Linked DNA regions of Schizosaccharomyces pombe. The protein of the gene in region 1 interacts with the protein of each later gene in a pairwise test. Each region holds a gene or a part of one and is shown in the gene's direction. Other genes may lie near its edges.

Region 1 (3,933 bases):
TCCTTGTGAAGGGGGTAAATCATCAGGGCGTTGGGAATTAATGGAACCAAGCTTTGCAAAATATTTATCATTTGCTTCTTTTGAAACTGATGGAATAGTTGGAACAGTTGAAGATGAAGTTACAGAAGCATGAGAGGAAACGCTCTTAGGACGATCAACTTTGACCCATTCGACACCATCTACTTCGGCACGAATTTTTTGTCGTAGGTCCTCAGCAATGTCGGTATTGTACTTAAAATGTGTTAGTCAATGTGAATAAAATCAAAATAAGGTAAACTGGAAAAAATATAGAAGGTTCAAAGATCATACTTTTTCACGAATACTTCCGGCAGCAGAAAACATCGGGTCTGTAGACAAGAATGTTTTAGCATTAGAATTTCCACCAACCTGTATAGAAGTTAGTCAGGAGCATGCAACAAATGTGGGCTATATATGTTGTTTCAAGTCATTGATGAAATTATAGTGAGCTTGCATTTTATAACTTCAGGTGATAATCAATTGCGCGTCATGTACTTGTTTTTAACATTAAACATTATTCTTGTCAAAAAAAGGCACTAAATGACTTGGAAAAAATTCGAAATAGCGGCAAGCAAACTCGCAGATCAATAGCGCTACCCTCTCAGCCAAATGAATTATTATATATATATGTTTTTTTTTTGGTAAAATAACCAACAAACTCCAATAGCCCGTATCAATCCTGATGCTTACCTCCATCATCTTCACTTGACGTTCACTCCAATTGTCCATGGTAATACTGCGGACAAAGCTCTTTTCGACTCCCAAACCACGATGCTGTCCACTGCAATCCAAACAAATGAAGATTCCCAAATTACAAGATGCCCATTGTGGATTTGGAGCATCACAATCAAAACATTTCTTGTTTTCAGGAAGACGAGTGAGTTGGTCTAATTTATACGACATTTTTTATTAGATTATTTAAACAACCAACTCATTAATTGTAGTTTGTTCTAAGTGACTTTGAAATTTCGTTATTTTCATGTCTCACCATGGTGTGAGATTTTATGGAAGTGCGTAAGAAAACGTTAAAGATCTGGTGAAACGTATTCCAAGTATATAAAATCAAAACATGAAGGAAATAAATATGTCGTGCAGTTGAATGCATTTATGAGTTTCAACTTTTTCTTGTTTTTGATCCATACTGTTTAAAATACCAGCATCTAGTTTCTTGGAAAGCTTACGGTATTATTTTGAGCAATTTTCATATCTGTCTAAGAGTTCATTGACCTTCAAAATAAATAGATTAAAGAGATTATTCAAGTTACAATAAGTTTGGTTTAAGAAAATGCAAATTAGTTTAAACAATCCTCTCGTTTTTGAAACAAACTGATAATTCAGTGATTTTTGACTACAAATAGAAATTCAGAAATTACTGTGTTCCTCGCTTGTTAAAGGTATGTAGCAGAAAATCTCTTATGAGTTGGCTACCTCTTAAGTTGTATCGTCTTTATGAACTTAACGACTTTTTTAAGGACTATAGAGGACTAGAAGCTTGAAACTACAAAACTAGACTAGTAAAAAGGTTATACCCTTATAAATTTGAGTGAATACATCCACTACTTCCATTGCACACATTAAACCAGTCTTAGTCTGCATAGCAAAGTAATTTGAGCTACAAATTATTTATACTATATATATGTCTTTCGACACACACGTTAAAATGTTTATTAAAAAATATAAAATAATACTATCGAGTTTTTAATTCAATGTAAACAGATACGCTAAAAGGCTGAAAGGCTACGAAGTTATTATTATTGTAATTGCATAGCTTCAAAAATTCTCTCTTTAATTTAAAATTTTAGTTGAGATCAAAGTAATGGTCATCAGTAAGAACTTGAATGTAACCCTAAAACTTGCAGCTTTTTGCAATATATCTTTCCAAGTTTTTAAGAACAAAGTCAAATCATTGCAACTCATTTTGCTAAATATTTTCAATGTTTCTCACGAAAACCGACTGGGAATTGGCTGTGCATCTAGTCAAAACACTTGCTATAATTTAGCACGACATTAAATATTCAAATCATTTGAATAATATTGAATTATTTATTAGAGAATACTGTAATATCATATACATTTCCAATCGCAAAAGTATGCATTTTTAAATGGTTTGCTTGTATATGACCTACCATCTCTATAACTTCATGGTTTCTCTACATGTCTCATATACAGAGTATTTTCGCACAAATTCGAGATCCTTTTCGAAAGTTAAGCTTCTATTCTCTTCCTCTATCTTCTGAAACTTCATCTGTTGACTCCAATGGGTTAAAGAACTCGTTGAAGGATGCGTACTTTGGGCTGGAAAAAGCATTGACCAATACAGACGCCGATTTACCACTAAATTTATGCGATTACATATTTTTTCCAATTGTACCTGTACTAAAGTCCTGGTATCGTGTCCCAAGTACAGGAGTGGAGTATGCCATTCAGTGCGTGAATTTGCTTTACAAGCATGGTTGGAGGGAAGCTCATAATGAAATGTTGACGATGCAACTATTATTGATGCTTCTTAATATAGCAGATGGATGGAAATCTCCTTCGGAAACTGTGGAACAAGATTTTCGTGTTCGAGAAATTACTTTCGAAACGCTTGAGAACGTTATTACAGATTTTAAGCCTAATTTTCACGATAAAAGACAGTATCTTCTCTTTGCGAGAGCTCTTTCTAGTGCTTTGGATATTATTCCAAATAAAAATAGCTCACGGAGATTACAGTTTGCCTCATTGTGTTGCGTCCAAAAGCTAATATGCCCAAAGCAATATCGCTTACCAACAGAATTTCTTACTACTTTTCTTCCTGGCATAGTATCGGGATTGACAAAGGGACTGGCGCCAAATGGAACCTGTCAGTATTTTAAAAACGTGTGTATCTCTTTGAATATTTTAGGTGATACAGTGGTGAAAGCTATTAGTGACGATAACACAAAAGATTTGCCAGATGAAAAAGATGCTTCTTCTAATTCTCATTTTTTTGGCCCAACGAAGCGTACAAAGTCTTGGAAACGCGCTACCTGCCAACAATTAAGCAATGCCGTCAAGGCAATTCTTCACCTTCGTTCTTCACAAAACTTACATGTACAAGATGCTTTATTTGATTTTTGCTTTATCCTATTTAGAGATTGTTTAGATTCACTAAAAGATTGTAGGATTCATTTACTAGAGAGCATGCTAAAATTGATCAATAAAAAAGAAAATCCAAAATTAAGGGACTATGGGATGAACAAACTCGTTTCTCTCATTGAATCATTCAACAATATTACTATGGAATCAGTATTAACTGAATGCCTAAATGATTGGTCTACTACATGGTCTAGTGTTTCCACTTTTGCTTCAGAAGATAATAAATTGGAGGAGTTGAACCGATTGAAAAGTCTCTTAAGTATATCCAGTCATCTTCCTAAGACTTTGCAGCTCATGGAGCCTTTACTGGATGGTATACTCAGCCAACTTGTACCAAAGTCATCGGGAATTGATTCCAATTCGCAGAAGCTTTTAACATCCAGTACTTCGAATGAGTACATCCATGGTGAATTTTTTGGTGGAAATGAGATGGAAAGAACAACACAAGAGATTGTTACAAGCTTCGCAAAGGCACCTAATGTTAAATATGTTATGCAGTCCTTACTTTCTAAGGCTACCTCAGCAACAAATGAAAACTCGGTTCGTGCATTTTGGGCATTTATGGTACTTTTGAAAAGTGACGTAGAAACGGTGGACAGTTTGGAAATGTATATTGATTCATTAGAGCAATATTCATTCGAAGTATTGCAACAATTATCGCAATTAAATGTCTTTACGAAAGCATCGTTGGAGGATAAGCAGAAAAAGGAAAAGTATAATCTTTTGTGTGTTCGTTCTTGCATTGCTATTGACAGCATTAGCTGGATTTCTTCTTTACAAGGAGTAAAGTTTCGATCA
Region 2 (3,933 bases), on another chromosome or scaffold:
TTTTACATTAGTCAACTTCATACGAAATTGCTGATGTTATTATAACTTGTCTATCTTATCAGTTTTAGAATAAATTGTTCATTGTCTGAATTTTTGAAAACAAATCATCAGCACCTTATTAGAACTCCAAATTTAGCAATTTGTAACATTACAAAAGTACAAGTGACAAGTCACCTCATACCATTAATTCTGTTTGAAAACTGTATATAGTAAACCACGCAGGTAGCTTCAGGAATATACGACAGAATGGGAAAAAAGGAGAAAGTCAATGCTTTGGAATTTTCTGTTAATAAAGGAATTTTTACAAAAACTCGTTTAAAAAGCCTGTATTCTGACTTTACGAGTCTGTTTATAAAAAATCCTGAAGGATTTTTGGCAAACGTAAATACTTGGAGAGAAGCAATTGAAACATCCGCATGGTCTGGGAAGTTGAATTCTAGGATAATCTTAGTTTTCGATGAGACTTTTGAAAGTGCGTTTTCAAGTCCTGCTTTAGGTAGACCTTTGAGCCTTGGTGCTGTTGCGGTACGTGAATTAAGCATTTTTTTTGAAGCTAATAAGCATATAGGCTTACTGGATCCAGCAAGGGGTTTGGCTTCGTAAGCAAGACTTTTTGAACGATTGTAAAAAAGGAAATTTAGTAAGAGAAGACGGTTTTTCTATTTTTTCAATTCTACGGTGGAGTTTTCAGAAACTTGGGTTTCAAAATCAAGCCTCATCCATATTGTCAAATAGATCCCCGAGTGGGCAGTATGTAATTCGAAAAAATATTGAGAAACTTGCTTGCCTTGTACACAATGAAGCAATGCGACGGTGCAGCAGCTATACGAGTGCAATTTATACTTGGGACTTTTTTCAAGATACTTTTGGAAGCTTATACTGGGAAGAAGGAAAATTAAACAAGGATGAGATGGAATGCCTTCTTAATTGGATGTGCTATCAAAAACATGTTTTAATATTTGATTCTAAGGTAAGTTCAGATTATATGTTTTCTCAGCTATTTGTCGATACCGTTTTTTTAACGAGAATAGATAATCAAGTTTTTACCCAACAGCCAAATTGATGCTCAATTAGCTTCAATTGATAAGTCTATTGATGGGTCTGTTGCAGATCTGATACAGGCTAGGGCATCCATCGCCCAAAGATCAGAATTTTTAAACGAGGAATTGGAGCAACTTTCACAAGTGCTAAACCAAGCAGTTAAAAAGGGAGAGAAAACAATAGCAATAACTTATTTACGTCGAAAAAAGATTTTGTCTAAAGATTTGGAAAGGAAAGTTTCTTCGCGTCTGCAATTAGATACTATAATTTCTAATATTGATAATGCGGTTGACAACAAAATTTTGCTTATTGCAATGTCTTCTGGCTCTGAAGCTCTAGACGCAATTTTAGCTCAAATGGGTGGAACTGAAAAAGTGGAAGATGTCTTAGAAAACGTAAATGATACACTGGCTCGTTCGGAAGAGATTGATGCAACTATTCAAACTTACAATCCTCAAAACATTGATTTAGAGGATGAAGCCGTTGAAAAAGAATGGCAGGATTTGGTAGCTGAAGAACAGAAGGTTGAAGATATCGTGTCTACATTAGGCAATGTTTCTCTAAAAACACCATCTGATACTTTTACCCTTACTAATACTGACTCGGATAAAAAGACTTCGAAACCGGAGAAGATTCAAGCTGAGCTGGTTGAGCAATAATTTATATACGTCCTTTTTTAACGATCACTTAAATTCACGGGAAATGGTTTGGTTTACTAATAATTTATGCACATACTAAAGAATAAATGAATACTATAAAAACATTTTTCTTGGTAATAACTATAAAAAACAATAATGCTTATATACTCAATAGAACTTATATAGCTAAAGCGATAAGGTAAAGTACCTGTGTAATGAATTGATGTTAGTTACTAAAAATTTTGCTTTTTATACCTTTAAAAACTAGTAAATTGTTAATTTATTAAATTGATTTCTTGGCAACGACTTAGAAACTTACAGTATATCACATACTCTATAAGTTTATATTATTAGTGTATGACCATAGCTTAACATGAAATACTTTTTTCATAGAATTTAAGTTCTCTAATAACTAAGTGACATTACAATTCTGTTAATATTCTTTGTTTACAAATCAAACAAATAATAAAACATTAGACTTAATAATTATCTAATAGAAGTTTAAATTGGCAATATCTATGCAATATTACAAAGAGCTAGCTAGGCGATTGCATACTCTACAATCAAAAAATGAAAAAGAAGCTCTTGAAAAAGTACCGTTTTTAATTCACTATTTTCAAATTTTAACCAAATATAGCAAATAGACTTTTTGGACAAATTGGTGGTAGAGGTGGACTCGTTGGTTCATGAACAAGATTTGAGGCCATTATTAGAGTTCATTAGCCCTACTGAAAGTTGGTTTTTACTGGGTACGGCGACAATTTTTTATATTAAATTATTAACTCATCCAGACCCTGAATCGATTGATGTAGTGATTAAAGAAGCGTATGTTGTGCGCGCTCACCGGATATTAAGCATTTTTCAAGAACAGTTTATAGAAAATGTTGTTAAAGAGATCAATTGGGAAATCCTAGCTATTTTAATATCATTAAGTGGAATCGAGAATGGACTTGTACGCAATTTGTCAGAATTCCTCTCAACTTCAATCCTCAGCGCTGTTCCTAGACAAAAATTCTTATTATATCTTCTAGAAAAGTATCAAATAAATCTTTTTCATAGAGAAGAACGGTTGACAGATCAAGGTAGACCGGTTGCATTTGAATTACCACCAGACAAATTTCACAGTGATCAAAGTAAAGCACTTCTTGAGCCAAAGTGGAAAACAAAAAATTATCTCATTTCTCACCTTATTTTTTGGATAATTGATCAGCAAAGTTCTTCTAGCATTGAAGTATGTTGGCACAGAATCATTCCATCTGTACTCCGAATATTGAATGATTTATCTCCAAACATTAAACTACAAGGAATTGAGCTAGTCAACAGATTGTTAAAAATTACGGAAAGAGAATTTCTTTTATATACTGGAATTCTAAAAATTTTGAAGGACGATTTGCTCGTATTCTATACTTTCATACCGCCAAGATTTACAATTCAAACGAGTGTTACCCTTATAAATGCCTCCTTCGCAACCCTAGTTTCTCTTTATCCTGAAGAAAATGAAAATTTAAATTCTATTATGCTGAACGGTATTAATTCTGTGTTTCAGTTTGCATTCGATTATCCCCTGATTCTTCAAGCCGCATTTTCTCAAATTATGGTTTTAACTGACAAAATGAATGTTAGTTATTTACCATACCTAACGGTAATAATTTAAATTCGTTACATTTGAAAGTTTACTAATCGCACTTAGTTGACTCTGGATGAACTGTGTCGTATAATACAAAACCCACAAATCATACAGATACCATCGACACTCTCCTTTTTTTTAGAAATATTAACAAAACTATTGGAAATTTACAGTTATCGAATATCTGCACACCATGTTGAGTTATTAATGGCACTAGTGGTTTGCAGTAGAAATTATATGCGATGTAACTTACAAGAGCATCACAATGCAATTGTACAAGCGCTTCAAAACCTCTTCACTTTGATAAAATTGAACATAACTGTTGAGCAACTCGGTGATTACAATGTAATATTGCCACTGCTTGAACCCCTGCAAATCCCACTTTGAGGTACATATAAGGAAAGACTCTCCTCATTACTAACCAACCTTCAACCTAGATAAATTGGTAACAATGGTTATTCGAAAAACGATGGAAAATGGAGAATAAAGGAAATATGGAGCTGTCAAATTCTTATGGTTTTTATAAAAATGGTCGTAGGGTTTCATTCGTAAAAGCCACTAGTGAACAATCGTTGGACGAAGCCACTTTTATTGAAAAAGGATCGGCACAAGCATTTTATCATTCGT

What was found.
Region 2: the proteins of tti1 (region 1) and tti2 interact in a two-hybrid assay, tested with the Schizosaccharomyces pombe proteins (one study listed by BioGRID).

The regions. Positions count from the first base shown.
Region 1 is NC_003421.2:1,424,086-1,428,018, reverse strand, and holds the start of tti1 (TTT co-chaperone complex, armadillo-type fold subunit Tti1), read left to right. Parts: upstream 1-2,151; 5' UTR 2,152-2,172; coding exon 2,173-3,933. Other genes in the region: SPOM_SPCC622.14 (GTPase-activating protein), read right to left, coding at 1-231, 310-387, 709-921. UniProt on the Schizosaccharomyces pombe protein: Component of the TORC1 and TORC2 complexes required for the regulation of the cellular respons to changes in available nutrients.
Region 2 is NC_003423.3:3,897,850-3,901,782, forward strand, and holds tti2 (protein Tti2), read left to right. Parts: upstream 1-2,086; 5' UTR 2,087-2,197; coding exon 2,198-2,272; exon of another isoform or gene 2,273-2,316; coding exon 2,317-3,321; exon of another isoform or gene 3,322-3,369; coding exon 3,370-3,693; downstream 3,694-3,933. Other genes in the region: cmp7 (ESCRT III complex subunit), read left to right, coding at 247-525, 569-970, 1,032-1,700; SPOM_SPBC1604.16C (G-patch type RNA-binding protein), read left to right, coding at 3,783-3,933. UniProt on the Schizosaccharomyces pombe protein: Component of the tel2-tti1-tti2 (TTT) complex that stabilizes protein levels of the phosphatidylinositol 3-kinase-related protein kinase (PIKK) family proteins.